7 linked regions of the Nothobranchius furzeri genome follow. The protein of the gene in region 7 interacts with the protein of the main gene of each other region in a biochemical or structural test. Links are inferred from orthologs where the notes say so. Each region holds a gene or a part of one and is shown on either strand. Other genes may lie near its edges.

The links.
Region 1: the proteins of ube2m (region 7) and xiap form a complex in vitro, tested with the Homo sapiens proteins (2 studies listed by BioGRID). The link is inferred for Nothobranchius furzeri from reciprocal best matches to the Homo sapiens genes UBE2M and XIAP.
Region 2: the proteins of ube2m (region 7) and cand1 form a complex in vitro, tested with the Homo sapiens proteins (2 studies listed by BioGRID). The link is inferred for Nothobranchius furzeri from reciprocal best matches to the Homo sapiens genes UBE2M and CAND1.
Region 3: the proteins of ube2m (region 7) and smurf1 form a complex in vitro, tested with the Homo sapiens proteins (2 studies listed by BioGRID). The link is inferred for Nothobranchius furzeri from reciprocal best matches to the Homo sapiens genes UBE2M and SMURF1.
Region 4: the proteins of ube2m (region 7) and dcun1d3 form a complex in vitro, tested with the Homo sapiens proteins (4 studies listed by BioGRID and IntAct). The link is inferred for Nothobranchius furzeri from reciprocal best matches to the Homo sapiens genes UBE2M and DCUN1D3.
Region 5: the proteins of ube2m (region 7) and dcun1d4 form a complex in vitro, tested with the Homo sapiens proteins (3 studies listed by BioGRID). The link is inferred for Nothobranchius furzeri from reciprocal best matches to the Homo sapiens genes UBE2M and DCUN1D4.
Region 6: of the proteins of ube2m (region 7) and nae1, one has a biochemical effect on the other in vitro, tested with the Homo sapiens proteins (4 studies listed by BioGRID, with this or other methods). The link is inferred for Nothobranchius furzeri from reciprocal best matches to the Homo sapiens genes UBE2M and NAE1.

Annotation. Positions count from the first base shown.
Region 1 is NC_091741.1:25,549,018-25,553,577, forward strand, and holds the start of xiap (E3 ubiquitin-protein ligase XIAP), read left to right. Parts: upstream 1-1,589; 5' UTR 1,590-1,748; intron 1,749-2,893; 5' UTR 2,894-2,943; coding exon 2,944-3,183; intron 3,184-3,269; coding exon 3,270-3,795; intron 3,796-3,897; coding exon 3,898-3,997; intron 3,998-4,086; coding exon 4,087-4,165; intron 4,166-4,472; coding exon 4,473-4,512; intron 4,513-4,560.
Region 2 is NC_091741.1:34,342,196-34,346,684, forward strand, and holds the start of cand1 (cullin-associated NEDD8-dissociated protein 1), read left to right. Parts: upstream 1-1,560; 5' UTR 1,561-1,780; coding exon 1,781-1,848; intron 1,849-4,489. UniProt on the Homo sapiens protein: Key assembly factor of SCF (SKP1-CUL1-F-box protein) E3 ubiquitin ligase complexes that promotes the exchange of the substrate-recognition F-box subunit in SCF complexes, thereby playing a key role in the cellular repertoire of SCF complexes.
Region 3 is NC_091752.1:65,321,674-65,326,262, forward strand, and holds the start of smurf1 (E3 ubiquitin-protein ligase SMURF1), read left to right. Parts: upstream 1-1,463; 5' UTR 1,464-1,658; coding exon 1,659-1,713; intron 1,714-4,589. UniProt on the Homo sapiens protein: E3 ubiquitin-protein ligase that acts as a negative regulator of BMP signaling pathway. Mediates ubiquitination and degradation of SMAD1 and SMAD5, 2 receptor-regulated SMADs specific for the BMP pathway.
Region 4 is NC_091756.1:31,621,006-31,625,750, reverse strand, and holds the start of dcun1d3 (DCN1-like protein 3), read right to left. Parts: upstream 3,102-4,745; 5' UTR 2,717-3,101; intron 1,711-2,716; 5' UTR 1,644-1,710; intron 1-1,643. UniProt on the Homo sapiens protein: Contributes to the neddylation of all cullins by transferring NEDD8 from N-terminally acetylated NEDD8-conjugating E2s enzyme to different cullin C-terminal domain-RBX complexes and may play a role in the cell cycle progression by regulating the SCF ubiquitin E3 ligase complex, after UV damage.
Region 5 is NC_091748.1:39,458,534-39,461,587, forward strand, and holds part of dcun1d4 (DCN1-like protein 4), read left to right. Parts: intron 1-1,886; coding exon 1,887-1,978; intron 1,979-2,106; coding exon 2,107-2,215; intron 2,216-2,558; coding exon 2,559-2,663; intron 2,664-2,734; coding exon 2,735-2,837; intron 2,838-2,920; coding exon 2,921-2,976; 3' UTR 2,977-3,054. UniProt on the Homo sapiens protein: Contributes to the neddylation of all cullins by transferring NEDD8 from N-terminally acetylated NEDD8-conjugating E2s enzyme to different cullin C-terminal domain-RBX complexes which are necessary for the activation of cullin-RING E3 ubiquitin ligases (CRLs).
Region 6 is NC_091749.1:35,484,204-35,488,788, reverse strand, and holds the start of nae1 (NEDD8-activating enzyme E1 regulatory subunit), read left to right. Parts: upstream 1-1,537; 5' UTR 1,538-1,609; coding exon 1,610-1,659; intron 1,660-1,992; coding exon 1,993-2,096; intron 2,097-2,177; coding exon 2,178-2,238; intron 2,239-2,320; coding exon 2,321-2,351; intron 2,352-2,458; coding exon 2,459-2,530; intron 2,531-2,681; coding exon 2,682-2,761; intron 2,762-2,851; coding exon 2,852-2,961; intron 2,962-3,104; coding exon 3,105-3,214; intron 3,215-3,304; coding exon 3,305-3,367; intron 3,368-3,439; coding exon 3,440-3,503; intron 3,504-3,594; coding exon 3,595-3,686; intron 3,687-3,753; coding exon 3,754-3,813; intron 3,814-3,902; coding exon 3,903-4,036; intron 4,037-4,152; coding exon 4,153-4,228; intron 4,229-4,585. Other genes in the region: ca7 (carbonic anhydrase 7), read right to left, coding at 815-851. UniProt on the Homo sapiens protein: Regulatory subunit of the dimeric UBA3-NAE1 E1 enzyme. E1 activates NEDD8 by first adenylating its C-terminal glycine residue with ATP, thereafter linking this residue to the side chain of the catalytic cysteine, yielding a NEDD8-UBA3 thioester and free AMP.
Region 7 is NC_091745.1:29,846,210-29,850,180, reverse strand, and holds part of ube2m (NEDD8-conjugating enzyme Ubc12), read right to left. Parts: intron 3,251-3,971; coding exon 3,147-3,250; intron 2,522-3,146; coding exon 2,458-2,521; intron 1-2,457.

The sequences.
Region 1 (4,560 bases), on a different chromosome or scaffold from region 7:
TTTAAAGTACAATAAAAAAAACTCTGAAATGTTATTTGAAATTAAAAGAACCAGCAGAACTCTTGATAGTGAGTAAATCCGGCTGCTACGTTTGCCAGTGACATGGTACGCTCCCAGTTTGTAGCAGTTCTTTACGGGTCCATTTGTCTCACAGTTGTGTTTGACAAATTGCTCTGTGGTGTTTCTCCCAAGCCTGCCAGTCTTTGGCCCCCTAAAATACCCATCAGAGAGTTAAGCACACATGGTTTAAGTTTCAGCACCACCAATGTTAACATTATCTATGTTTTAAGAACCTCTTTAAAACCACTAACAAGCATAAACAATAAGGAAAATAATCTTCTAAACAATCCTATTATATTATTATATTATTATAATCCAATTTAGAACTCAAATGAAAAAGGCATAAGTGCAGAACTTGAGTAACCCTTTCCAATCAAGCATGATTTATTGTCTTTGGGCTAGTTTTTGAGCAACAGGCGTTCTGAATTTAAGCATTAGATGTTGGCATGCCTGACAATGAAAAATGTTCTTTCCACACAACTCTGACCTGTAAGGTCCAAACCTAAAGACAAAACATGCCATTTTCACACAGATTACCCCTTTTCAAAGCAGCCGTATGCAAACCAACTCTAAAATCAGCTGGTTCACACCTGTCGGAAAAAGTGGACTGATCATACCTAACATCATAATAATGATGATTCAACAAAAACCTGACTGGAGTGGGTTTTAGAATACCAAGTGATCGTTTATGAAGTTATTGTTATACCACAGGTAGTTTCTGAGTAAAGTTACAGCTAAGCTAAACTTGATGAGGCACATTCAAACTATGCTGTTTATGTTTTCTTAGAAAATATGTATCTGTGAAGATGATCATAACATAACAGAGATAGAAAATGTATCTTCTCCATTCTAAATTATAAGAATACCTGTGAACCCCCACCCCCTAAAAAAATCCCTAACGATTTACTGGAAATGCATGGGGCAGACCAATGCTCGTGTTTTATTTGACTACTACGGCAACTTTTAGTTTGAATCAAAAAGTTGACATGCATAATCACCAATATGGAAAATTATCTCAGGTTGATATATGACTGTTAAAGAGTATAGTTATTTTATGTATCCCATTAGCTTTCACTGGCATTTATTTCTGTTGGTGACAGATGCAGGTTGTATTATCAGTCCCTACCCTGTGCCTTGAGTTTCTCTGCTCCAACACCAGGTCCATCGGTTGAATCACCTCTTCAGCAGCTCTGTAACCTTTCAATTACTTGCTGATACAATCAGGTGAGAGAGCAGATAAACCTCAGATAAACATGGAGGCCCTCAAAACAAGAGATGACCGCCACTGTCCTAACAATCCTGATTAAAAATGGTCACTAATATTGTAGGTATAAGATTATGACCTTCAGACATTGTTTGAGGTGCATGATGGGATTACATTAAAATTTTAAATGAACGCTTTTTGCTGGTTACTGACCATATTTAGGCAACCCTAAAGTATGTTGGCAGTTGATAGTAGACGGCATGTTTCTGTGAAACACCCACGTGGGCGTACTTTGATCATGTGACTGAAGAGGCGGGGCCAAATGTTCTAGGTTCCCAGATTCCTCCCTTTGCTTTCGCTTCCTCATAGTTTTTATAAAACAAACTGAGCTCTTTAATCATCCTATTCTGCTCCAGGTCAAGTTCACACTAAAGACAGACTAAAGTTACAAGCTGAAGACCGGAACCAAAAGGGGCGCGTGAAGGTAAATACCGTAGTTTTCCGGCTACGGTCGATTTAGGCAACTGCGCAAATTAGCAAACAAGCTAACGAAGCTAGCTAACTGACACTTTAGCAAACTGTCAAAACCCAAAGTCACTATCTCGACATTACGCACCTACATCAAAGCAGCTGATGTGTTTATTTTTAGAATGCAGGCTTATTGAAATGCGTGTCCTTGAATAATATAGGCTAGTTTTTAGCTTTTGGTAACTCGAGCATCCACGTTTAAGCAAGGGTCACCAGCATAGAGAGCTACTTCATGTGTACTGAGCCACATTAAGGGCTACCAGGATTCTACAGTTCTGACATTTGAACTGGAATAGATCAGAGTTAAACCAAACTTCATTTATAATAAATATATTTTATTTATTTGGAAGGATTTGTAGTTTTAAAATCAATATTGATGCATTTGTAATTAAAAAAGAAGGCTGCAGATTTGTATTTCGTTTTAGATATTTGCCATTTAAAGAAGTGGCTTTATATTATGCCAGGAGGCACCATGGTGCAGTATCGTAAATTGTGCATGTTTGTCATACGGTTAAACACACATTAAGTTGTGACACACTCGTGATCATGGTGACTACTTTTTTTTTTTATAAAGATTGCCAACAACAGTGCAAAGATCAAAAGCTGATCCTCATCAATAAAGCATCTCAGATAAAATCATACTAGATGTTACAGTTTTAGGACTAAGCCTCCACCATGTAGTGGGCTTTCTGAGTATTTGGGTTGTGAGAACACATTTTCCATGTGCCAGTGTAGAGGTGGCAAAACTATTCCCCCCATCCTGCTTTCTTAGCTGGCGTGCTTTGATCTTGGGTCATTAGCCCGTGTACAGCATGTACTGTGACTCCTTATTACAGCAAATACTTTATCAGTGTTTGTCACTGTTGTGTATAATCTATTTAGGAATGCTGCTTTAGTGTAGATTGTATCAGGTTACGCCCTTTGCACCGCCTTTCCTGTTCCCATGCCTCACACAGAGTATCCAGCACCAGCATGTGATTATAGCCTGGCTGCCTCTCCCAAAGGCTTAGCCTGGATGCTCAAACCAGCTCCCTGTTGTTTTAATTCAAGTACATTTAGGACTTTTGACTAACCTTCAAATCTGCTTGTCTTTCTCCTCAGACTTCATACATTCAGTAGCTGTATCTATCCAGGAAGGTCCTAGTTCAATTATGTGTGATAATGAAGAAAATGAGCATCTGGAATCAGATGGTGCTATGGATTTTTCATTGCTCAACAATCGCCTGAACTCCTTCCGCCGCTCCATCCTGGCTGAGCAAGTTCCAGCTGAACGACTGGCACGAGCAGGCTTCTACTTCACCGGCAACGCAGACCGCGTCCGCTGTTTCAGCTGCAAGAAGACTGTGGAGAACTGGACCAGCGATGACACGCCTGTGGAGCGGCACAAGGAGGTAGATCATGGATTCAAAGTGTTGAACGATTGTGACTTTTTGTTCTGCTTTAGAGGTTTAAATAATGATCTCTCTTCCTGGTACAGGTTTCTCCAACGTGCTTGTTTCTCAAATGCTGCCACCGAACCAGTTTCAACCCGAGCTTTCATAACCCGCTCACTAATGGCTACAACGAGGCTGCAGAACACATGGAGTATCGTTTGTTAACTGGAGCCGTGACTGACGACACCATGTACCCTAAAGCCCCTCAGATGGCGTCTGAGGAAGCCCGCCTTCAGACCTTTTCCTCGTGGCCCGTTGATTCTCTTATGAGACCCAGAGACCTGGCACAAGCTGGTTTCTTTTATTTGATGAATGCTGACCGAGTGCGGTGTTTCTGTTGTGGTGGCGAGCTGAGTGACTGGGAACCAGAAGACAATGCTTGGAGTGAACATTCCAAACATTATCCAAACTGCTTCTTCATACTTGGGCATGATGTGGGGAATGTGCCGCTTCAGGAGAGCAGTTCTCAGGTCTCCATGGAGAGTTTTGAGGGGAGACTTGGCAGCTTTGCTGGTCTCCAGCTCCCTGTTGACCACAAGAGTCTCGCCACGGCGGGCTTCTACAGCTTAGGTACAGCGCCATCGTCATCTGTGGACAAAACTCATACAAAAATGAGTCACTGTTATATCGTTGTTCTGATTTTGTTTTGACACATCTGATTTGTGCTTACAGGAATGGGAGATAGGGTGATGTGTTTCAGTTGTGGTGGGAGTTTGAAAGGTTGGCAGCCTGGGGAAGACCCCTGGGAACAACACGCCAAATACTACCCAGGGTTAGAGGAAACATCTGTCTTTTCTTGGCAATAAAAATTCATTATGGAGACATTTTTATTTATGCTGCTGTAACTTTCTTCCCCATTAGATGCAGCTTCTTGTTGGCAGAAAAAGGAGTAGAATTTGTCAACAGCATCCAACTAAATGGACCCAAACAAAGTAGAGCTGTAAGCAATCTCCTTCTTTTTTTCTTGCTATTGTGATTATATGACAAACCATAGCTTGTAACTTTACCTGTCAATCTGATTCCCAAGTCCCTTTATTTATAAAAAATAAACAATGAAAAGGTTTGAATCAGCTGGAATTGTGTTTTAAATCATTTTACTTGTATTTGGTGTGTTTTAGTGAACTTTATGGAACATAAGGAACCAAATGTACTTCTCTTTAGGTCTCGGAAAATGACTGTGATGCCCTGAATCATTAGTAAATTTGGTTTGTTCAAGCTGGAAAATAATAACCTGTTTTTGCTTCCAGGTCTCAAATCCTCAGAATGGGCTTTTGGGCGCTGAAAATGGTAAATATATATTTTGATACAGTGTCTCTTATTATAAAATACAAAAAA
Region 2 (4,489 bases), on a different chromosome or scaffold from region 7:
TGTGGATGGACTTGGTCAGAAGCCGGGCACAAGCAAGGGGGGTTAAAGAGGGACTGCACACCATCAGAAAACGTAACTCCACCCCTAGTCAAGATTTGAAAAATGCTATGAAAGTGGTCGTTGTCAGGAGGCACTGAGTGGCATGGCCAAGTGTGAGGATTTTCCGTTTCGGGAGGGATGGGGAGGGGGAGCGGGAGGAGACTGTACCGATGATGTGAAACTGTACTAGACCCAGTCAGTGACAAGTTTAAAATGCAGTAGCCACAGTTCTGCCACAGGGGGCAGCACTAAGACATTTTTAGACCTAGATTCTAGATCTAGTCAAGTTTACACAAGCATGTCAAAAAATGCACAGAAACAGAAAGATTGCATTTGTAAAGACACAATTATACAGTTAATTAGCAAAACTATTTTTGGGGGGTTTAGTTACTCTTTAAATGTCTTGCCCAAGGACACAACAGCAGAGACCTCTGTCCGGGTCCAGGACAGAACCTGCAACCAGTCCTCAACCTCCTGAGCTACTACTTCCCTTGAAGTGCACTCTCAGCTCCATTTTTGTATTTTCATGCAAGACGTGGGTCAAAGCCAAGATGGCAGTGGTGGGAACTGCCACCAGGCTTCAGATCAGCTATTCAGAAACCTGTGTGTGACGTTTATTACAAAAAGTCAGTAGTTTTTGCAGCGTTAGCTCGGTGCAGACCCAGCAACTCCAGGCTCATGTATAGTAAACTACAAATACATCCCTCTTTAGATGTTTGAAAGGAGATAAACCGATAACCCCCGCCGGCTGAGAAAATAACCTCCATCTTTCAGTTCTTTTTAAAACACAGAAAAGGTTTATTTACCTCCAACGTTTCGTTTGCGGCTGCAAACATCATCAGGCTGGCACCGATGGTGGCGTCATTTCCTTCGTTTATCCGCGGGCAGCAGTTGTAAAAAGAACTGAAAGATGGAATTTGAAACTAAACACAGCAAGAACACACAAAAGAAGGAGAAAAAAATCTGTTTTAAATGTAACCTTCCTTCCAACATGAATGAGACATTAGACTGTTTTGTGATGATTTCATTGTAAATTTGTTACATATTGCTCCTTTAAAGTAGTGAAGGGATTCCACAAAAACTCAATAAAGGCACAGAAAAACTTAGCTCTATGCCAGGGCTGATGGGGAAAGATGAATCACATAATTATTTAATCAGATTAACACGCATTTAGAATGTTTTACTCATAAAAATGTTCAGTAAGTACATATTCGTGACTGTACACCTTGTGTTTAATAATGTAATAGTGATTTTTTTTGTGAATGACCCAACAGAATCAGCCTGAGCCTGGATTATCCGGGTTTATTAATTTATTAATACAATCTGATTACGGTAATCTGTGGCGCCTTCTGACAGGTGGTCTGGAGAATATTCCTCTCAAGTCGGTGCTTTTCCGTCTCTTTTTCACTTATGAGGTTAACTGTAACTAGTAATCCTGGTTGGGGTGTTTTTAAACTTGTGCGCAAAGGCGAAGCTGGCTCTACCGGGTGGATCTCCGGTATGAGGGAACAGTGACCTCAAACCCCGCAGCGTCCAGTCCCGCTCACTCCGCCCCTCTGCAGAGAACCGGAGCCCCATTCAAACTAAAGTCCGCGCCCCGGGATGCCACAGCGGCTGTAGAGGGAGATAACGGCGGCTACGGCAGCAGAAGAGGCAGAAACACACCCTTTCACCCAAAACCAGCCGCATTTGAGACGCCCAGCCGGGCTCAGTCAGCTAACAGGAGGCTAACGGCACCAACATGGCGAGCGCCTCGTACCACATCTCCAACCTGCTGGAGAAAATGACCTCCAGTGACAAAGATTTCAGGTAAATCTAACTCCAGACGGGTAGCTTTACATGTTGCTTATTAAAACAAACTCAAAGCGTTTCTTTAATAATTAGATTTAGTCAGACGCGCTGTTTTTGTGCGGATTTCAGGCATCTGTCAGGAAGGCCTCAGGCTAGCGTGCTGCTAGCGAAACAACGCTAACCTGCTGGTTAGCGGTCTGCTGAGGTTCGGGTCGGCCCGACAGCGGGTTTATACGGCATTAGCAGCTGGTTAGAGGGATAACCTGCTAGTTATAGAGAAAACCTGCTGCACATGGTGATGATCTGACACCTGAGTTGCACGGAAACGGTCGCTTGTTAGCGGCTAACCTGCTTGTAGCTGGGTAGCAGCCGCAGCGAAGCGTGCTGTTAGCGGCGCACTGGAGGATGTTTACCGAGGTAAAGTGACCAGGTGAGGGCAGGCAGGTGTCAGCTGATGGGGTTCGTGTTTAGGTGGTGCAGATGTGACTGTCTGGATGATCTTCAGCTCATCAGGATGGACGTTTGTTCACATGAATGTAGCTCAGAAGGAGCTCTAATTGGTTTCTTCCGCTCTGTTTATAAACTTCTCGGTGACTAATCAACATCGCGCGCTTTACTATGATTTGTTTGCCTTCTACAACAGAACCTTCGGTACAAACACACACAGTCAGTTACTAATTAGGAAAGAATCACCAGTGTTTATGGCACAGTACGTTTTGAACTACATTATCCAGCAATTCTGTCGTGCGCGATGCATTCTGGGTAGATGATCACGTTACATAGCAACGGGCGGAAGTGATGGTTCAGATGTGTGAACTGTACTGATGATGATCGTAAATGATGGTTCAGTCGTACTCCCCTAAACATGTGACCAGTTTAGTCACAGATGGACCTGAGAAAACCTGAGGCTGCACAGGTGTGACTCGTCCTAAAGAAGCCTGACTTGTACTCGTATGTCTGCGTGGCTTCAGAGACACTCAACGTCATGATGCATCAGCGTGAGGGCTCTCCGACAGGCTCGCAGAGGCTGGAGCCGTGACCAACTTTTCAGCTATCTGTTGAAATTGTCAGAGATTTCAAGCTTGTGATTGGTCAGGACGCTGCTTCCTTTAAATTAGTCAACAGCACCCCCATCGCCCCCTCAAAAAATAATGAGAGCTGAAGATATTTAGTGGCGAACACAGAACAGATTGAAAAACATCTCCGTCGATGCGTATGCAACTCCACACTCGAGCTGACGAAGAATTAGAAATGAGCCTTAATGCTGAAAGTCTCCCAGTGAGACGCGTGTTAGACCAGGGGTATTCAGTTCTGGGCCTGGAGGTCCAGCACATTTTAGTTTTAACTCAAAAAACCTGATTTCAATCAGCAGGTGATTAACCGGCTCCCGCAGAGCCTGATGAGCTGCTGCACAGGTAACTCAAGTGTATTGAATCAGAAAAACCACTAAAATGTGCTGGATACCAGACCTCCAGGAGCGGAGTCGAATACCCCTGCGTTAGACTATATGATGGTCTAAACCAATCAGAGGGAGTGATGGGAGGGGCCTCCACTCTGATTGGCTGGATCATAGCCAATCATGCAGATTAGGGTTATGAACGGACACATGGTTTAGGAGAGTAAAGGAAAGGTATGATTGTAATGTTTTTGTCAAGTTGAGCAGTCTGGAACCCAGCAGGAGCTCTGGCACAGAACCATCAACCTCCGAGGTTACGAGTCCTCATCAGGAGACAACATCGGATCATGAGCCACACATGAGCGGCTCTGATCTGGAGTCCCACAGCCTGTGAGCGGATCAAAGCAGGAAATGTTGACATCATCAAATTAAAAGGTGAAAATGGACAAAGCACGTAAAAAACGCGTTAAATGCTGACGTAGGTGCTCCTCCTCTTCCGCCTTTCTGCAGCACATGCAGTGTGTTGCTAGCATGATGATGGAATACAAAGATAGAAGTGAAGATTTAGTTTAAAGTTTCACTCGCGTAATACATTTTCAGTGGTCTCTAGTAGGAATGAATGCCTTGTAAGTTGTACTCTTGAGGAAACAAAGCTCTAGTGCGCCTGTTTCAGGAACTAGAAGTGAGCCACATCTGAGCTGAGCTTCTGATGGCAGGATTTGGAGTCCTATTTCCTGATATTTAGGCATCTCTCCTCTGATTGGCTAAAGCTAGGCGTACAGTGTATGACTTTTTCACTTTTGTGAGCCGGTTTTCCCCTCGTACGAGAATCTAGAAGGTCGGGGCGAGTTTTGTGCTGAGCATCGTGTAGTATACAGGAGGCTACGAGAGGCGATTAACACCACATGACCAGGTACCTACCGGTCAGCAGTCGTACACTCAGACACATTTCTGGCATATTGCATATTTAACTCGTCCCTCGTGAGGGTATCGGACTGTTAAAGCGGCACTGCGACCCAAAAAGTACCAGAACCGCTCACGGCACATGCGTGAACATGCATCAACACGGCTCACCAGCTATGTCCTTATTAACACACTTCAGTCGTTTTTATTTATACACTTTTTTCGCACACGATTACATGTGCTGGATACCGGAAAGCGTGTCAAATGAAACTGATAAAACATTGATTTACTTTCTTTCATCTCCCTCCTCCAACCCCATAAACGCTCTTGAGTTCTCTACTGTGCCCCCTAGTGGAACAC
Region 3 (4,589 bases), on a different chromosome or scaffold from region 7:
CAGCAGTGGCTAACGGGTCCGGTACCAGAGAATGTAGAACACTCAGACATACGGGAGGCTTGGTGAAAGGATGCATGAGGAAGCAGAACAATTCTGGCTCATCCCTTTAGCTATGCTGCTGGAGGACACACTGACCACATTTCCTCCCTCTTTCTGCTGGGTTTGGTTCTGCTGGAGGTTTTTTCACGTTAACACCATCATTCCTCTCCACTGTTGCCATGTGCTTGGTCAAGCTGGGGCATCATATAGAAAGGAATGGCTGATGCAATCAACAGTTTTTAATGGCTTTAATAATTGTCTAGGAGACTGAATCATATTGTATTGTTATTATAAATGGATTAAAGTAGACGGTTTACATCTGGATATGAATGTGACCTGTTTAGTTCTGCATGGTGCTCTAAGTTGACTTTTTTATGAAAGTTAATCAAAATGTAATCATTCTGGGACATTGTCTTTGAGTTTAGTCCTGGTGTAAATTACTTATTGTTAGTAGTAGTAGTAGTAGCAGTCAGAGGTGTGGACTCGAATCACATGACTTGGACTCGAGTCAGACTCAAGTAATTATTTTAATGACTTCTGACTTGATAAAATCTATTAAGTCTTACGACTTGACTCTGACTTGAACGCCAATGACTTGTGACTTGAATCGACTTGCATCTGTTGACTTGAGCATTTTTTATATTTCAGCACAAAGTGGCACGACACGGACAAAAATCATAAATCACTCTTGGTTCTGGGTTTGATTTACTGCAAAATGCAGCAGCACTTTATAATCAGTTTCAGTTGCACTTTCTGCTTGTTTGAGCAAATAAGCGAAGCTTTAAGAAGCTTTATTTCTGGAATTTATTTATTATCATTGTCATTAAATTGAAGTTGGACAGATGACTTGATTATGACTTGAAAATTCAAAGTTAAGGACTTGGACTTGACTTCGACCTCCAGATAATTGACTTTGGACTCAACTTGGACTTGGTTGTCTTTGACTTGGACATGACTCGAGACTTGACTGGAAAGACTTGTGACTTGCAAAGCAGTGACTTGGTCACACCTCTGATAGTAGTACTAGTGTGTTTTACATTGATTTCTTGAATTCCTGCCTTTACAGTAATATTCAAATAACCAACTGAAGTTTGATTATGGCCACTTGTTGCCTTTCAGACGTTTAAAATCATCCACATTTTGTTCTTAGAAGGGATCAGTAATTCGTCGATGAATTACTTGTTATAAACCTACAGAACATGAACACTAGTGATGCCAAAGGTGTTTTTATAAGACAGCCAGGTGAAATGATGTAGTGAGATATCAAATATTGTGTTCGAGAATCATGTAGCATTAAGATTTTCGAATTACAAGAAAGAAAAAGAAATCCAACCGCGTCTTCACGGGCACGCGCACCCTCTTTCGGGCTCGAGCACGTAGCCGTACGTGAGCTAGCTAGCTACGTGCTCGAGCCTGCCCGAAAATGTTCTCCCGTGTTGTTGAATTTCGAAGGAGCGCAGGACTTTGCGGCCAAATAAGACGTTCTTCTCCGTGAGGGAAACAAAAACGAAGCGAATGGTTGGCCTCTGAAATCTTCCGCGGTGCCATTTTATGTTGGTGAAGGAGAGTTTTCGGCCGACTTCGGGGGGAAGTTTGTGTGAGCCTTGTTACCGGGAGTGATGTCGAATCCTGGGAGTCGGAGGAACGGGTCCAGCATCAAAATCCGACTGACAGGTAAGAAAATAGCGAGCCAGCAACAATTCCGCTCACACGGCAGGCTGTAACTGGAGCTTAAATATTTTATTTACAGCTCTTTATTGTACATTGTCGGTATAGTCCAGCCTAACTTTTATGTGCTGCACTTGCCTGTTAGCCCGCTAGCTTGTGGGAAGATCTTAGTTACCGCTGACCGTTGCAGCTTGTTAGCTACACCCATTTTCCTGTTGAGTGACCACCAACCCAACCCGACCGACTGGGTTACAGTAATAAAGGCGACTGTTCCTCCGCAGCCTCTTTAAAATCGATTGATTGGTGGATCTGTGACACGCTAGCCCAGATTACCACGGGCTATCGATCGCTGTGTGGCTGCTGTGTCAGCTGCGGTTAGACTCGCTGAACTTATCCCGACCCTGGGAAGTTTAAACATGTTTCCTCTTTAGGGATCAGCTCGTCTGAGATGTTTATTCCGTTTTGGTGCTCGGGTCTCCTCGCAGGGCTTGTCGGAGTCCCTTTTCTCTCACACAGGGAGGGATCCAGCTGGAACAATGGTTTTTACTGTAGCTAATGTAACGCCACTAGCCACCGAGGGGCCTCTATTCAAATGGAAATGACCTCTCTGCCTCTGGGCAGACACTCTGGCCTTCCAGTGACTCAAAAGTAAACAAAAAGACAGCTCCATTTCCCTTCTGGGCGATCAGAACAGAAAAACTAGTGGAAACATGCTGGTTATTTGTGGCTTTTAGTTTCTTTCTAGCCTTTCTTGTAAGCTGGATTTGAAGCAGAAATTTGTGTTGACACACTCATCTCTTCACACAATACTCAGAGTACAGGTTTCAGCTTCAGTCTATATGTAATCTAGCCAGGAGTAGAGTAGGGTTGGGCATCGTTTGATTTTGAATGATTCCGATTCTAATTCCAATTCCTCGTTTCGATTCCGGTTCCTATCGATTCCCGATTCCGATTCTTTCAAGACATTACATGTTTAACATGAGCTAGCTAACCACAGGTCCTATGAAATAATCTTAACTTCAACATGAATTTTAATTCTGTGAACAATAACATCACCTTAATTTAGTCAAAAACTTGTCCTGGCCCAGGAGGACGCCCCAGCTTTGTGTTTTTAGTCTAAAACAACAGATTAGGACTGATTCTATCACGGTTTTTAAATTGTCATTGAAGGAACCGAGATCAACCGTGTTTGTATTTACTATGTAAAACACCTTTACCTTTCATCAGGCTTCCGAACCGTAGCTTTTCCAGTTTGACCAACCAGATAGGAGGGTTGGGGGTAAACGATTATTTTTTAAACGATTATTCTGACGATTATTTTATTGAATAGTCGACTATTCTAAGCACTATTTAGACGATTAATCTAACAATTCTTTTTTTCATTGCACAATTAATAAAAACCAGAAAATCTCAAATAAATTCCTCAAAAAAATTGATAAGTTGTTACTGTAAGAGAATAAACACGCAGGCATTCCATTTTGTATAACACAGCTTTTATTGTGTTGCGGTTGGTTTTGTTCTGGTGACGTGTAGAACTTGGGAGTGCAGGCTGCTGCCTGAGAGGTGTTTGAAGACGGAGTGTCTCCATGCTGCTTTGTTTTGGTCACTTATGTGCGTGAGGCGAGTGGTGTTACGACCCTTCCTGGGGAGTTTGGCTCGTGTGCAGAAAGGGAAGGGACAATAACACAGGATTTAAAAGTTAAAATGATGATCAGGTTTATTTACAACTCCAAAAAACATAAATCTTTCCATCCACAGGTTGGGAATAATAAAACGAATTCTGCCTGTGGGGAATTAAAATAAAAGTACAAATAACTAGGGATGTCCCACTGGGCAAAGATTACTGGGTTCTGGACCGAAATAAGGATCTCCAAAGGTCCAAACTCTAAACTGGGCGGTTAAGCCAAACTCAAGGTGATATTTTAAACTAAACCGAAAACCCACAACACTCTAAATGTAATAAAAGGGAGATCTGCACCACAAAAAAGATGAACTCTAAACCAAAACGTAACAGCTTATCCAAACGCAAGAAGCTGCTAGCGAAAATGCTAACAGTAGCTTTACCAACGTTAAGTTCAAGTTACCGAGTTTAAATAAACCAAAAACACCCAGCAAACAGACCAGCACGGAGGAGAGACTGCTACCACCAAAACAGCTCTCCTAATGTCTGAAAGAAGCTCCTTTATGAAGGGAGAAACGCTCCCGGTGATTTTCTACATCTGCGCTAGAGACGGAGCAGCGCATCTGACCCCGGAAGTTGTTGTCCGTTGCCGGGAGACGAAGGCGGGCAAAACAGGAAAGGAATCTTGTAGCGGACGGACCGGGTCTTGGGTATTTGGCGGGGATTTTAGTGAAGGCGGAGAAGAGGGCAAACTAGAGGAAAAACAGGCAGATTCCTCCTCTTTTGTGTGTTCTTACTGTGTCTAGTTTCTAATTCCATTTTTGGTTCTTTTTAAAACACAAGAAAGGTTTCTTTTTACCTTGCTAACGTTTTGTTTGCCGACTGTAAACGAAACGTTAGCAAGGTAAAGAGAACCCTTTCCTGTGTTTTAAAAAAGAACCAAAAATGAGATTCCTCCTCTATTTACAAACTCCTGGGGATGCAACAAGTGGGCGTGGAGCGTCGACTACCGGATCTGACGTCGACAAATTTTTAGAATCGAGCCGTCGACACCATCGACGCTTCACCACAGCCCTACCAGATAGGATGTTGAATTTGTCGTTGTTTTAGTGGTTTTCGCACATTCCACTTCTCCTTTTAGTGTCTTTCTCCAAATGTGTTAGCTCTTTTTTGTGTTGGTTCTAAACCAAAATGTACTCACAGCATTTCTGCAGTACTTGGTTTAGAATTAAACTGGACAATCTGTTAGTAGTTAAGCTCC
Region 4 (4,745 bases), on a different chromosome or scaffold from region 7:
GAGCTCTACAGCATGCATCCAACACTACACCATAGTAGAAGTAGAAATCACTGTTTACAACATGGCATTTCAGCATTTTTAACAGCGTCCTCGTCTTTTCCGACAGTGCGAGCTATTTCTCTCCAAGAATTATTAACAACATGTTGATCATGGTGATCTTTGAGAGCTGAATCATACAAATGTCTGTATTTACCAACCTCTGCCGTACTAGTTCTTGCCGGTCCGCCATGTTTTTCCGCGTCCGACCGTCCGCGTGGTTAGAAATTTTCCGAGGTGCGCGTTGCGGAAATTCTGGGCCGTGCGGAGGCGCGGTGGAGGGGCGTGGTTGTTAAAATGACGCAAAATGACGCAACTTTTCCGTGCGGACCTCGCGGACGCGTCAAGCATAAACCAACCTTAACAGGTGCCACGCCGCATTGAAGCAGTCATTTCTGCAAAAGGATTCCCGACCAAGTATTGAGTGCATAACTGAACATAATTATTTGAAGGTTGACTTTTTTGTATTAAAAACACTTTTCTTTTATTGGTCGGATGAAAAATGCTAATTTCTTTGAGATAGGAATTTTGGGTTTTCATGAGCTGTACGCCAAAATCATCAATATTAGAAACATTAAAAGGCTTGAACTACTTCAGTTGTGTGTAATGAATCTAATATATATATGAAAGTCTAATGTTTATCAGTACATCACAGAAAATAATGAACTTTATCACAATATGCTAATTTTTTGAGAAGGACCTATATATAATGAGCCAGAATTGTTACAGTCTCTTGTAACACACAGGGCTTGTCTTCAGCTCCTGCAGGGTGGGTGTTAAAGAGAGCAGAGTAAAAATCTGTGTTATGAGGGATATGAATGATGTACAGATCAATTTCATTCCATCCACCCACACAGCTTTGTAGGTGATGTCTCATCAGACTGTGTGCAGTCCGTGAATGTAGGTAGTTACTGTTTAAGCTAGTTGAACAAGCTAATTACTTGGGTCATATCCCTTGAAGCCATGTCAGCATTTTGTGTAATCCTTTGACTGATGTGATGATGGGAGCCAACAGAAAAGTGTTTCTACAGTTTACATTTAGGTTAGAGCTAAACCTGATGCCTCATGTCTTGTTGTTGCTGAGATTATTGTTGCAGCATGTGAAAATAATGAGGGAAGTGCTTTAGAAATATGTCGCTAATGAAGTCTGGGATCGTTTAAAACAAACCTGCTTTTTCATAAAGGGAGAGTTTCCAAAGCCCTGTTTGTTGCATGTTTTGATTGTTTAACTAACTTTTATCAGTAAAACTCTAAAAAATTGATACGTAACTTTGCACCCAGACACAACAAATCCTGTGATCATTTTTTTAAAATCAGAAAGACATTCCATTAACATTTTTCAGACTGAATGCTCAACAATGCTTCATATATTTTATATTCTCATAGATGTGGTTGTAATTCATGAGTAAAACCAGATCAATCACTTTTTGTTTTTACTTGCAAACATCAATTTGGTAGTTTGTTTAATCTGTAAATGCATCATTTTCTTTCCACTAACCTAATTACTAAAACAGACATGGTTACCACACACACACACACACACACACATGATGTGATGACTTCATGCATTATATCATAAAAGAGCAGCTGATGACAATTTCACTTACAGACACTCCGTCAGATGGCATTGTCTTTCAGTTCTGCTCCATCATTGTGACCTTGAGATCAGCAACGCTGCAAAGACACATTATATTGTCATCATAAGCAGAAAGCAATAGCTCTTCATTCCCAAATCTGCAGGGACTATTTTTGTCAATACAAAGAGAAAGTCAAAACTCTCCTCTTGCAAAATAATTATTGGACAGTTTTAAAATACCCTAAAATGACAGTTAGAAGTCATTGTGCAATATTTACACAGTGGGGTAATCTTTCTGTGTCTCCACTTGAAGGGTTTCTGTACAACTCTTTGCTTCCACAAAGAAAGAGTCTCACATGTTATAATGAAACATAATTCACAATGCTTAATGCAAAATACACAGCTTTGATTTTTAAACCCAAACTCAACTCTGTTCAGATCATTGATAAAGTCACTAGTCATACATTAATAAGAAGAGTCAGGCTTCAGGGGCAAATTGCCAGTACAGATCAATGTCCTGGACATGTAGAGGCACGTCTCCCACACTTCTAACTTGGCCAACTTCAAGTCTCTGACATCAGATGGATGTCTAAAGGCCCCCTTTTCCACAATAAACAGGCATCACCGTGTAACACATCCAGACGTCAATTTAACTGGATTAGCTGGTCTTAAAAACTGTCCGAGGCGAAGAGCAGCCCAGATATTAAATTGTAATATCTGCAGCTATGTTGTCACCGAGCACGAGCTGCTGGGTTTAAAAACACACATCTGATAACGATGATCTGAATAAGTTATGCTTGTTGGAGACAGACAAGCTCTTGATCAGGATCAAGGGAGCTTAACAGCACATGTACAGCACTTCCAAATGAAATGTAAACACTGATTCAGTTTCTGTTTAATAGTCCGCTTAAACTGCTTAAAGTAGTCGGGCAATACTCGCTAATCGGTTACTGATCAACGATCCATCCTCGTCACCGGGCCATTTAAACATCCACATCTAAAGTGCCTGGCCCTGACCACGTCGACATAGCTAAAAGTTAGCTAGCGGCTATGCTAAGTCTTCTCCGGCTGACACAACGAGATAAATATCCTCAAAAAGCTTACCTTTTTAGGAAAACGTAGGCCGCGTCATTTGAATGTACATCACTTCATAAATGTCACTGAAAACAAAGGTGGGCAAATAAGTTGGCCGAAATACCAGCAGTAACGAACTGAGGCAAACTCGTCGTCAGATTGTTAGCAAACTAGCAGGCAGCTGACCAAAAGAAAAAAAAAGAAAAAACTTCCATAATAAAGTCGCACTCTATTCTACCTTTAGGGAATGATAAAATGATTAGCAGTCAGAGTTTGTATCGGAATTCATTTTTGTTGGTTCGCAGTTTAAAACAAGTTAAAGAGCCACTCTCGGACTAAGGCTGCCTATTTCTTTGTGCTTCCCCCTTTTAGTCATTGAACTACATTATGGACATTTTCCTGCATCACTTCCTCTGTCTGTGCTAACAGCCAACAGCTGATCTCCATCTGAGCGGGGGTGTCACACCGAATTCTGTCACCATAATAGTTTGGGACTTGACCGGGGAAGTCGAAAAATGTTTTTGTTTTGTTTTCCAGAGTAAAACACTGGATATGGAAAAACAGGAAACAGTTTGTACAGATTTATTTATGCGCTCATTTGCATTTTTAAAATGTAAAGACATGTGGTACAAGTGTATAAAAAACACATCTGCAAGCAGTTTTTTTATTTAATTTTTTAATTGGAGGGTAATTTTATTTGCATTGAGTAGCTTGGTTTAGATTTCACACACCCACACCAGTGGCGGCTGCTGAAAATAATTCTTGGTGGGGCTATGTGAAATATTTCCCTTCTTAGTCCACAATTATTAAAATGCACAGTTGAAAAATGACTACAACTGCGAAACAATCATTAATTTCCCTCCTTTAAATAAGCAGTTTTACAGATTAGATAGATTTTCAAATTTACAGCTAAAAAGACTATAATATCAATAATACTCAAATAAATGCACACGCCAATCATGTGAGCCTTTAAAAGCAACCACAGTCAATAATTTCCATTTCTGTTTTTATTTCCATTTTCTTTTGACAAGCTTGAGTTTTCAGTCTCCTATGTCCTATTTATCTCTCACCTGCTCATACAAAGCATGCACACCTCAAAGCGCAGCACTCAGTGCCACCAGTAGGTTTAACAGGACATAGAAACTGAATTACATATCCTGCTTTAAAGGCACATTTGGCAGTTTTGCTTTCTTTAGCACCCCCTAGTATTCGTTTCGTAGAACCAAAAGCAAAACACATCTCTTTGCTGTGCATTTGTCTTTTTAACACTTGAATCTTAATTGCTGAAAATCTCCCCAGCCTTCCTTTGTGTCTACATGAGCGATTTATCACTAAATCAAACAAATCAGCTGTGTTCATGATCTAAAACACGAAGGAAACAGGCTGGAAGCAGGCTGCAGCACCAAGTATGTCAGCTCTATTTTTTCTAAGCCCAACAGAGTAGACCGGCTTTCAATTCAACTTTGTTTTTCACCTTGTTAGTCATTTTCATTCCCACTCCTATTGCGTAATATTGTTTTTGAACGATTAAAAGTGCAGAGGACAAGAACTTACATTGAAAAAAGTGTGGGGGACACCCCCCATCCCAAAAAACAAACAAACAAAATTATAATAACAAAAACTACGTCCATTGTGTGTCATCAATGGAAACCTTTTGCCTCATTCACTTGGTGGGTCAGTAAGCTTAGAGAGCCAATTGTAATTTGAGGATTGAACTGCCTGAATGTCTTTTTGTTTATCATTTTAATAATGTGACCAACTCTGTGCGGTGCATATGTATGTAGTGGAGGCATAGTTACATCATTGAACAGGACTGACCCACACAATGACAACAAAGGTCTTCTGATTAAGAGAGTTGTCATAATTATTTCATCCATCCATTTTCTGAGCGCGCTTGTCGACGCGGGGTCGCGGGATGGGGGTGGGGTGGGGGGGCTGGTGCCTATCTCCGGCGGTCAATGGGCAATCATGCGGAGTACACCCTGGACAGAGAGCCAGTCCATCACAGGGCAACACAGAGACACACAGGGCAAACAATCATGCACACACACACACACAC
Region 5 (3,054 bases), on a different chromosome or scaffold from region 7:
TATTTTTGAAAGATGTATTACTTGTTGATTATGTTGTTTCTTCTTGGGGCCTTTAAAGGAATATTTTGACCATTTTGAATGTGTTTCTATATATAAATAACAGAGATGGGGAATTGAGGCATCAACAAGTCATCTCCATGCTATGTTTTTCTTCAACTCAGCAACTAAACCAGGGGATTTCAATCAGCACAGTAAATGAACCTAGTTCAGTTGCTGAGCAGAACTAAAACACGGCATGGAGATGACTTGTTGATACCACAGTTCTCATCTCTGATGAATAATTACAATCTTACCTGTAGTAGAGGCCTTCCTGAACCTGCTTATGGGGTTTAAGTCCCCTTAAGTCAACTTCAGGGTTCATTTCAAGATCCTGGTTCTGGTCTATAGGGCCTTACATGGACAAGCACCATCTTACATTGGTGATCTTCTCAGTCCCTACACCCCCAGCAGGTCCCTGAGGTCCAGTGACCAAAGCCTACTGGTTGTGCAGCACCAGGCTAAAGGTCAAAGGTGACAGATCATCTGCTGCTGTGGCCCCCAGACTCTGGACCTCTCTCCCCCTGAGCCTGAGATCAGTGGACTCAGTGGTCTCCTTTAAAAAGCAGCTGAAGACTCACTTGTTCAAGCTGGCTTTTGTATGACCTTCTTCACCTCTCTCTCTTTATTCTGCTCTCCCCACCTATTCCACCTTCCTCAGGATCCACTGATTTCCCTCTTTCCTCTTCACTCTCTCTCTTTCTTAACATTTTTTCTTTTAAATCCCAATTGCCTATTTTTGCCCATTTTAAATATATTTTTAAACATTTTCTAAATGCTTTTTTAAATATTTTTACTTTTTTTTGTTTTTGTGAAGCGCCTCGTGATTTTTATCTTGAGAGGCGCTATAGAAATGATATTTTCTTCTTCTTCTTAAACTCGCTGGTGCCTCCAGCAGCTCACTGACACCAGCTTCATGCTCCTAAAATGACAGCTGTTAATTTTGCATTACATGATTATTATGGCAGAAATATTAAAAATGTCCTTATGAAATAATGCATGAACAAACCAATGAAATCCTGCATATCAGATTCTATTTAATATGGCAGCAGTCTGCTTTGACCTTGCCTGGAAGTCTGTTTCGGTTTATATTTGTGCAAAAATAAATGTTGATTCCTTTGGACCTTTAAAAGACACTGCTGCAGTCTTTAATTCAGCGGTCACAGAGCGCGTTTACATGCAGCCAGTAACCCTTTTGAAACCCGAATATTCACAATAACCCGGTTCCGCAGGTCCATGTAAACACCGCCAAAAACCCGGTTACTACACCTGGGGTAACCCTTTTCTAACCCGAATGTTTGGTCGTGTAAACGCATACCGGGATATCCCCATCAAAGCGTGTGTTCTGCGCATGCTCTGTTCGCAAGAAATCTTGGTCTTTTGAGTAGCGAGACGTCGTGTACGCGCCAGAACACCGGAAGTAAACAAGTTGCTCACGTACTCTCCTTCGAATGAAGGCCAGTACGCACAGTCGTAAAAGCTGCTGGTGGGTCGATACCAGCACTAAAGCGCAAACAAACGCGGTCGCTATCTCTTCCGAACTGGGAAACATGTTGTTGTTTTCACAGATACCGGAACAAGAAGAACCGGAAATGACGCATATTGCGTCTGGACGTAGTCCATACGTCCTGACGCTACCCCAACGTCCGCATTTACATCGGGTTATGCAAGTTAGGGGCAACTCTTTCTATTTATGCTTGTAAACGGGTTATTCTGATCAACTCAGAAACCCGAATACCGACCTTAACCCGATCATAACCCGGATATTGGCTGCATGTAAACGTAGTCAGTGAGGCCTGACAGGAACCTGGTAGGACATACCTGCTGTAACATCTTCTATTTATGCCCAGGTGGTGATGCTGGTGCTTGCTTGGAAACTGGATGCCCAGAGTATGGGATATTTTACTCTTCAGGAGTGGCTACGAGGCATGGGTTCCCTTCAGTATGTCAGCTACTTACTGTCTCTTACATTTGCTCTCTTTGAGAAAAAGTTTCTACTTCCTCTGCGGTTGTGATTCTCTGTGGATTTGGCGTTGAAGTGTGTCTGGGGTAATTTTCTGCTGTTGTCAGGTGCGATTCCACCGAGAGGCTGAGGAACTCCCTCGACTACCTGAGATCTGTGCTGAACGACGGCACCAGTTTTAAGCTCATTTACAGATACGCCTTTGATTTTGCTCGGGTACGCTGAAAAAACTCTTTCAACCATTGAGCCGCATGCACACAGTTTAACTTATAGCCTAAACTAAGCAGAAATGTAGCTCAGGATCAAATTTGATATTTTTAGCTAATCAAATCTACCTTCAGTTTTTTTCCTATATTAGACATGCAGCTTTCATAGATGAAATAAAAATGTAAAATATGGTATAAAACCCCAGTTTTGGCTTACAGAAATTCATTTTATAAACGATGGGCTCTGAAATCCGTCTAGTTTAGTGCATGTGGCTGATCTACTTTTATTAATAAAGCAAGGTTTGTTTAAAGTGGTTGTTTTTTATTAAGTCTTGTGAGTTGTGACTGGACAGGAAAAAGATCAGAGGAGTTTGGACTTGAACACAGCCAAGTGCATGCTGGGACTTCTTCTGGGGAAGACGTGGCCTCTGTTTCCTGTCTTCAATCAGTTTTTAGAGGTGAGCATGCAGCAAAAGATAATCACACAGTAGCTGTTGCCTTAATCTGTGGTGCTTGTTTGGTTTCTCAGCAATCCAAGTATAAAGTCATCAACAAAGACCAGTGGTGCAACGTTTTAGAGTTCAGCAGGACAATCAACCTGGATCTTAGTAACTACGATGAGGATGGGGCCTGTGAGTGAACACTTCATTATACATAAGGTGGGTCATCAGAGTCCACATTTGAAATGATGGTTCTCTGTCTTGTCTTTTTTCAGGGCCAGTTTTGTTGGATGAATTTGTGGAATGGTACAAAGAAAGACAGATGTCATAGCTGAGGATGGAAAAGGAAAAATAAAAGACAACTGTGACCACAACAAATCAACAACCAATACGCAAACATCAAACAAAC
Region 6 (4,585 bases), on a different chromosome or scaffold from region 7:
AGGTGAGCTGTGCTAACCCATGATGTACCAAGCCATTTTTGGCTTGGTAGTGCATGGTGTTGTTGGGGGGAAAAATGCTTTAGAGTGGAGAGATGTAACAAATCAGGAAACTCAAGCATGAAAAATGCTCCTACATCCAGAATCTTTTGAGTAGGTTAATTAATTAGGAATCAAAACACAGAGCTATCATTACCCAGTGTGTCTCTACAGTTCTCCAAGGACTCTGTCTGAAATTGTATAAAGTAGGGTCAAAGCTCCTATATGTTCCATTATACTTGTGGTGAAATTTCCTGAAAGGTCCCAAAATGTATCTAAAAGTTAAACTGTGATTTTAGAAAAATGGTTAAAGGTATCAAGATGCTGATACAGTAATAGCAGAATGTTTTGTGACAACTTCAAACTTAAATTGAGTTTCTAGGTGGAAGTATGCCAAAGTAGCTAAATATCAAATAGAGTGATACATATTTTAAAAGAGGTGAAGGATTTTGCATGTATTATAAAAGCTGAAAAATTCCATAAAATACTCTATATCTCATAAAGTGTACAAAGTAAGGAAAACTCAGGAATGCTAAGTATTCAAACAATTATAATTTGCCCTTGGGTACAAATATTCAGCTTTCACAAGTTCAGGTAAAACTCAAACAGATAGCCAGATTAACCTTACAGCAGTTGCCCTTTAAATCTCTGTGCTAATCTGACACTCACATAAGTCTTAAATGGCCAAGAGCAAACATGCAGGGATTCCTCCCACGTGGAGAAAATAATAAATAAAGACTAAATATTGCATAAAGAGTCTGAAGAAAGTTAAACTCACCATCCTCTTTTCCATAGCCCCAGTTGCATCCTGTCATGTTTTATTTTGTGGTAAAAACGGATCAAACGATGCGTCCTGTTAAGAGCACCTTAGGCACCTGCCGGGCACAAGATCAGCTGGTGCCGCGATCGAATAAAGTTTGTTAAGGGGGGCGGAATTATCCTCAGAGGACACGCCCCTTTACATTCTCACGCAAGTTTTTCTGCTTTAATTAGAAAATGATCATAATTAAATGAAGAAACACCCCACACGAAAATAAATTTGGTCTTCTGCTAAAAAAATTTAATCAAAGGTTTATGTGTTAGTATAACTTTGTTTTTTGGGGTGAGTGAATTACTGATAAATAAATGTGTGTGTTAGTTGATGTACTCATTTTAGCATGTTACATTTTATTTGAACCCCCCTTCTGCATTGTTAAAAAATATTTCTCTTTAAAGTAGCTTATTTCGTTCAAAGTTTTTGCGCAGTTTTTTAAGGGTCATTCCAAGACGCACTCGGGCTACTTTTTTACTTGACTTCATGCCGCTTTGGGTTGTTTGTTTTCTGCAAAGGATTCTTTTAAACTTTAAAATCCCAAAAATAATAAGAAAATACATTTTTGTTATGTTAGAAGTAGTAGTAGTAGTAGTAGAGTTATGTTTTTTAATTAAACATAATTTTATCACATGGCATTGCATCCCTTTAATATTTTTATCGAAAGTGCGCATAGGGATCTTCGCGCGCCCACATTCGTGTCGAATCTGTCTTTGCGGAAGTTAAAAATACGTCAACAACGTCACTCATTGAAAAGCTACCATGGCAGCCACCAAAGACTCCAAAGAACAAAAATACGACAGGCAGCTCAGGTAGGTTGTATTAACATCACAGGCTTCTCTAATAAATGACATGCTTTCAGCCAAACAGAGGGGATATTTATTATGAATGGGTACAGCCGAGTGCTAGCTAGAGTGCTAACGATACTTAGCTTTAGCTTTCTTTGTGATGTTTCGGGTAAACATCGTTTGCTTTTAGGTGATAGATTTTATTACTTTGAGTTAATGTTTAGATTTGACTTTCCACAAAAGATGTTTGCCTAATAGCTGCTATTTAGTCGCATCCTTCTGACGGTGATTTACCAAAATATCAGGGAATCTCGATGCTGTTTCAGATGCAGTCTGTGTTATTGTTTGTCTCCTCAGACTGTGGGGGGACCATGGACAAGAAGCTCTGGAAAATGCACATGTATGTCTCATCAACGCCACAGCAACTGGAACAGAGATCCTGAAGAACCTGGTCCTGCCAGGTAATCAGATGATGGATCAAAAAAAAGTTCTGGTGTTGATGGAAACATCTGTCTGATTTGGAAAACTGCTCTGTTTGACAGGGATCGGAGCGTTTACTATTGTTGATGGACACATAGTGTCTGGGGAAGATGCAGGAAACAAGTAAGAATTCATTTTATCATCTAATCCATGGCTAAAATAAGCTATTCCACATGTAGCTGACTGCTCAATCTTGTGTTTACAGCTTTTTCCTTAGCAGTGATAGCATTGGAAAGGTAACCAACCCTGAATCTGTTTATGCTGATTCAAAATGTGGTTATGTGGAATAATCAAGAGTGAGATTGTTGTTATTTGAGTTCTTATTTTAGTTTTGTTGTTGCAGAATAGAGCCCAGGCTGCCACTGAACTACTGCAAGAGCTAAACAGTGACGTGTCTGGAAACTTTGTAGAGGAGGTTTGTGCTGTTAGATTCCTACTGAAGTTTATTTCTATGTGTGCATATACTACAGGGTTGATGATGCAAGATTGCTGTGTTAATATTACAATATGTTTATTGTTATCAGCACTCTGATCATGAAAAGTATTGTATTTCCTGTCTCCTTCAGAGTCCAGACAAACTTCTGGACAATGATCCAGAATTTTTCCACAGATTCACAATAGTCATTGGTGTCCAGTTGCCAGAAAGGTGCAAGAAATCACTTCATTCAGCTGAAATATTTCAGTTTACTTTAAAGTCCACAAAAAAAGCATTTGACTTTTCTCTACCATTGAACAGCACCTGTTTGAGACTCGGCATGGTACTATGGAGTGCATCTGTACCGTTTCTAATCTGCAAAGCATATGGCCTCATAGGCTACATGAGACTGATGGTGCAGGAGCACACAGGTGTGTTATTCAAACTAGCAATGTATACTCATGTTACTCATAACGCAATATTGTTTTGCCTTTATTAACACACGTCTGTCCATGTGATCAGTATTATAGTTTAGGGTGTTTTTGCATATTTTCATTTTATTGCTACTCTTTAGTGATTGAATCTCACCCGGACAATGCCTTGGAGGATCTAAGATTAGATCGGCCTTTTGATGAATTTAAGAGCCACATAAAGTCCTACAACCTTTCCATCATGGACAAAAAGGTCTGCTGCACTTCAAGTTGCAATTTCAAGGATTTTTAGTGTTGCATCTGCAGAAAACTAATGATTTTCTTTGATTAATGTGTCCTGTAGGACCACAGTCACACACCATGGGTTATCATTGTTGCTAAATACCTAGAGAGATGGCTCAGTGAGGTAAGGGGGAACACTTCTGCTCAGTTATTCATTTATGAGTGTTATATCAGCTCATTACGTGAATTCTTGCAGCACGATGGCCAGCCACCCAAAAATTACAAGGAAAAGGAGGCCTTCAGGCAGATAATTCGGGAAGGTATCTCTGATCAGCTGCAATGTAATTGCATATAAATACAAAGAGTTTAAAATGTAGTTTGTCAGGGATTAAAACTTTCTGTTTTGGGTAGGAATCCTGAAGAATGAGAATGGAGGCCTAGAGGATGAGGAAAACTTTGAGGAAGCCATCAAGAATGTCAACACTGCTTTAAATCCAACCAAGGTGTCGGATTTTAAACGAGTCACAGTTTCAGGAGAAGTCTTGTCTTAACTTAACTTTGTTTCTGCAGGTTCCCACTTCGGTCGAAGACCTCTTCAATAGCGAACAGTGTAACAATATCACAGCGCAGGTGTTTTGTTTTTTTCACAGTCACTTTAAAGTTTGTAAACTACTAATGAGGTTTTAATCCGTTGCTTCTTCCTGTCTGGATTGGTTCAGTCTTCATCTTTCTGGGTGATGCTGCGAGCTGTGAAGGAGTTTGTGTACAACGAAGGCAGCGGAAGCCTTCCCGTTCGTGGATCCATTCCAGACATGATCGCAGATTCTCAAAAGTTCATCAACCTTCAGAACGTGTGAGTGAGGAGTTTCATTAATTATCTCGTTTCTGGGAAACCGGCATCAGTGATGAATCTGATTCTGCCTCTTCGTGTTGGGATAGCCTGTTTTATTTGTGTGTTTTATTTTTCAGTTACAGAGAAAAGGCCATGCAGGATGCAGCAGCTGTTTCTAAACACGTAGAATCTCTACTTCAGTCCGTTGGAAAGGTAGGAAGTGTAGATCCGTGCATCTCGGTGTGCCCTGATTTCTGGAATAATACATATAAAAGTGATTGTACATGCATTTGTGTGAAGTGCTTGTGTAGATCCAAGCGTTTCATTCAAAGAGAAAAATCATCTCCTCAATAAACAGATTTTATCACAGTTCATTTCAGGGATGCTCAATATATCGGCAATGATATCGGTATCGGCCGATGTTAGTCATTTTATAACATATCGGTATCGGTGCGATAAATAAAACTGGGCCGAGATCAACAGCCGATATTTTTTCTATATTGTTTCCATCTGTTTCAGAGGGTGAGGGGGATGATGTGTATTTGTTTAGTCATGTGACAGTGATTGTAA
Region 7 (3,971 bases):
CGCCTTGATCTCACAAGTTTATCGTTGTCTACGTATGCATGACGTCAGAGCAAGTCGGCATCAATTCGGACACGAATCTAACCGGCATGCACCGCTCGCCGATCACCGCTGGTCTAGTCTGCGCAGAACTGGCTCATCTCGAACACAGCCGATGGCTCGAATACAGCAAAGCGGAGTTGGTGATGTACTGTGTTGTATGCCGGAAGTATGCGACGACAAAATCATGTTTTGTTGAGGGAACAAACAAATTCAAACTTGAATACGTTATTATGTTTGTGAATGTGTACAAAATAAAGGTTTATTACATTTAAAACAGTTCTGTTATTATTTTGACTCGTTTTGGCAGCTGACCAGTGGGGCCGGTAGATTCTTGGTGGGGCCGGTAAATATTCAGAGTTACCGGCCCGGCTGGCCGGTTGGTTTTGAAGTTAATGTCCATCCCTGCTTTCATTTCTCCACCTCACCCACAGGTACCTCAACTTCTGCTTCTGTGAAATAGAGCTTCCTTGATCTGCCTTGATCTACGGTCGCCATGTCATTGGCGGAGCGCTGCAACAGCCGGCTTATGTGTATGCATGAGGTCCACAAGGCACTTTGCATTGACTATTTATGGCAGTAAGTGGGCGTGGTGAGGGCGGGATGTGACTAAAAAGCAGCTGAGAAACATTCCCGTTAGTCTCTGATTTATGAAGCGGAGATTGAGTGCAGCTGTGCGTCCTCCATGTTTGATAGGTCACACACCTGCTTGGCGTAAGTACATTTGTTTTGCTGAGCTTAAGTACGGTTTTAGTAAGGATTCTACGCCATGTTTGATAAATGAGACCCCAGCTCATTATAACAGCCTTCCCACGCAGGTGCGCAACAGGTAAATAACAATCGATAGACACCACGTGATCCGAGACTACTCCTATCCATCACAGCGACTTGTTAATTTTACAGTCCTTCTAATGCTTTGGTTTTCGGTTTCGGCCAAGGATTTTCATTTCGGTACATCCCTACAAAACATCAAAGCTGAAATGCAACGTTTACAAAATTATAAAACAAAGAAACTAAATCACTGAAGAGGCGTTTTCTTAGGTGGAACATAGAAGTAATAATATCTGGGCAAAGGAGGTCAAACATTTTTCTAATTATAGGTTATTAATTTACACACAAGCTATACTGATGAATGTTCAACTCAAGTTATACAAGAACACAAGAAGGCAATAAAAACAAACAAAAAAAGGGAAGATATTTACAGATAATAATAGTGATCATCATCATAATAATAACTCACTATTCACCTCAAAAATCCTGGTATAATTATTCAGCAGCCACAGTTATACTTTGACTTGAGCTTGTCACTACACTGGAGTTCGCTTAGCTCCATCTGGAGGTTGGTTGGTGTGCTTTCCACGTCACCCGCAAACATTACTGAGCAGTCAGAGCCTCCATTTTTGGGCTAGTAAGAGGAGGATCTTCAGTTTCTCCATCACTGAGGAGGTACGGCTGCAGATGTCGACGCTGGTAGCACGGACGCTAATGACTATAAACAGAAAAGGAGGGGGTGCTTCGACTGACGTCGCTAACGTCACAAAGCATTCTGGGATTTGTAGTCTTTGTGGTAAATGCACCAAATTTAAATAGACCACAAGCCAGATTTGACCCGAGGGCCCGAGTTTGACACTTGTGCCTTTGAGAGCAAAGGTAGGCACAGTTTATGATTAAATATTACCGTTGGCACTATTGACATGTAATTGATCTTAAATATGAATTTTTTTTCATCAGCCTGAATTTATACGGGGAAATAAAACAATCAATTTCAGTAAAACTCCATCCGCTCTGACAAAACGCACCTTCTGTATGTCAGCATCTTAGGCTTCAGCATTTTAAAGTTAAAGTCATCATCACACACTGGTGAAACTACATCTCTGCATCTGACCCATCCCTGTGGGGAGCGGGGAGCTGCAACTGTGTCAAGACCAGACCAGATTCAGGGGGAGGAGAGATGCCTGATGACACAAGTGGGCTACTTTCTCCTGGACGCAGGACAAATCTTTACATGGACAAAGTTGAAGCTGAGGCAGGAAAAGGCATGAATGCAACCAAAAAGGGTTTGGGGAGTATTTCTCATGAGGAAATGCCAATATCACATGGTAACAAGCTCCAAAAAGTGGATTTTCAAGGATCTGGCCCCTTTAAAAGACAAAAGAATCACAGAACCACAAATAGCAAGAAAGACTGGCTGCTGGGAAGGAAAACAGATAGGTGGGGATTGGATCAAGAGTTCTGGACCAAAACTGGGATTCTGACGAGAATGCGGAACCAGCTTTTAAATTTCCCAGCCTCTACTTGTTCTTTTGCATTCTCATTATTTTTACTGACAGTGAATTATATTTTAATTTTGATGCTAGAAGTCATTCCCTCACAGAGACTCTGACTTTAAACAAACAGTGAAAGAATCAGAGTTTAACTCACTAGAAATAGATACTGTAGACCATAGATGATGGAGTTTATTGTCAACACGGGCTTCCAGTCCTCTCTGTGGATGACAACCAGAGACACAAACAAACAAAATCCTCGTCAACTTTGTGTTTAATTAAGTCCTCGTCTTTAAAATCCACTTAGATTTAAGGCTTCTATGACAGAAAAAACACTGAAATCTTTCATGGTAATTGGTCTGTATTTGATATAGCACCTTCTAGGGTTCTACAACCCCCCAAGATGCTTTACAACACAACCAGTCATTCACCCATGCACACACACACTCCCACGCTGGTAGTACAGAGCTAAACATTGGCCACAGCTTCCCTGGACCACACTGACAGAAGCGAGGCTGCTGAGCACAGGCACCACTGGTCCCTCTGACCACCAGCATCAGGCAAGGAAGGTTAAGTGTCTTGCCCAAAGACACGACTGTGACAGAGCAGACCTTGTATCTGCAACCCTCGGGTTACGGGGCCAGCACCTAACCCCTCTGCCACGGTCTGTATCATTTTCTGTTTCAAAGGCTCTCTGATGCTGCTACAAGTTGAGCCAATCAGGAGATTTCTGTTATAACCATTGATGTTGTTAAACCAAATGTATGTAAATCAAGCTCCCGTTGGTTCACATGATCCACCGGGCCTTAAATAAACCTTAACCTCAGACGACACACAGAGACAGACCTTAAGATATTTAAGCAGACGTTTCCCTCCAGGTCGATGTTGGGATGATACACCATCGTCTCACACTTTACCTTAGGGGGGTCATGGGGATAACCCTGTCCTACCTGGAACACACAAATGTAAGTTAAAAAATCTATATCAGTTATAAAAAATGAATATACACTACCTAGCCCCAAAAAGGTGGCCACCTGGATTTAAGTAAGCAAAGAGGCACAGGCCTCCAGCAACAAGTTATTTAACCCCAACTGGTGCACTGAGTTGCTTCTCATTTCTTCAACAACCATGTGGAAAGACACCTCTGGTGGTCGTGGAAAAGATGTTAGTCTGTTTGAGAAGGGTCAGATCATTGGCATCAAGCAGAGAAAACATCTGAAATTGTCGAAACGACTACAATGGGTAAAGAACTGTCCAACGCTTTATTAAAAACTGGTCTGATGAGTCCAGATGGACCATGTTCCAGAGTGAGGGTGCATCAGGGTAAGAAGAGAGGCAGATGAAGTGATGCACCCATCGTGCCTAGTGTCTACTGTACAAGCCTGTGGGGGAAGTGCTATGATATGGGGTTGCTGCGGTTGGTCAGGTCTAGGTTCAGCAACAGGATGTACTCTAAGAATGTGGTCAGCTGACTACCTGAATATACTGAATGACCAGGTTATTCCATCGATGGACGTTTTCTTCGGGCATATTCCAAGATGACAATGCCAGGATTCATTCAGGCTCAGATAGTGAAAGAGTGGTTCAGGGAGCATGAGACATCTAGCCTAGTGAACTAGACCAAATTCTTGCTTTGCAAAGTTTGGTCTAGGCATGCTCCATTGGAACCTC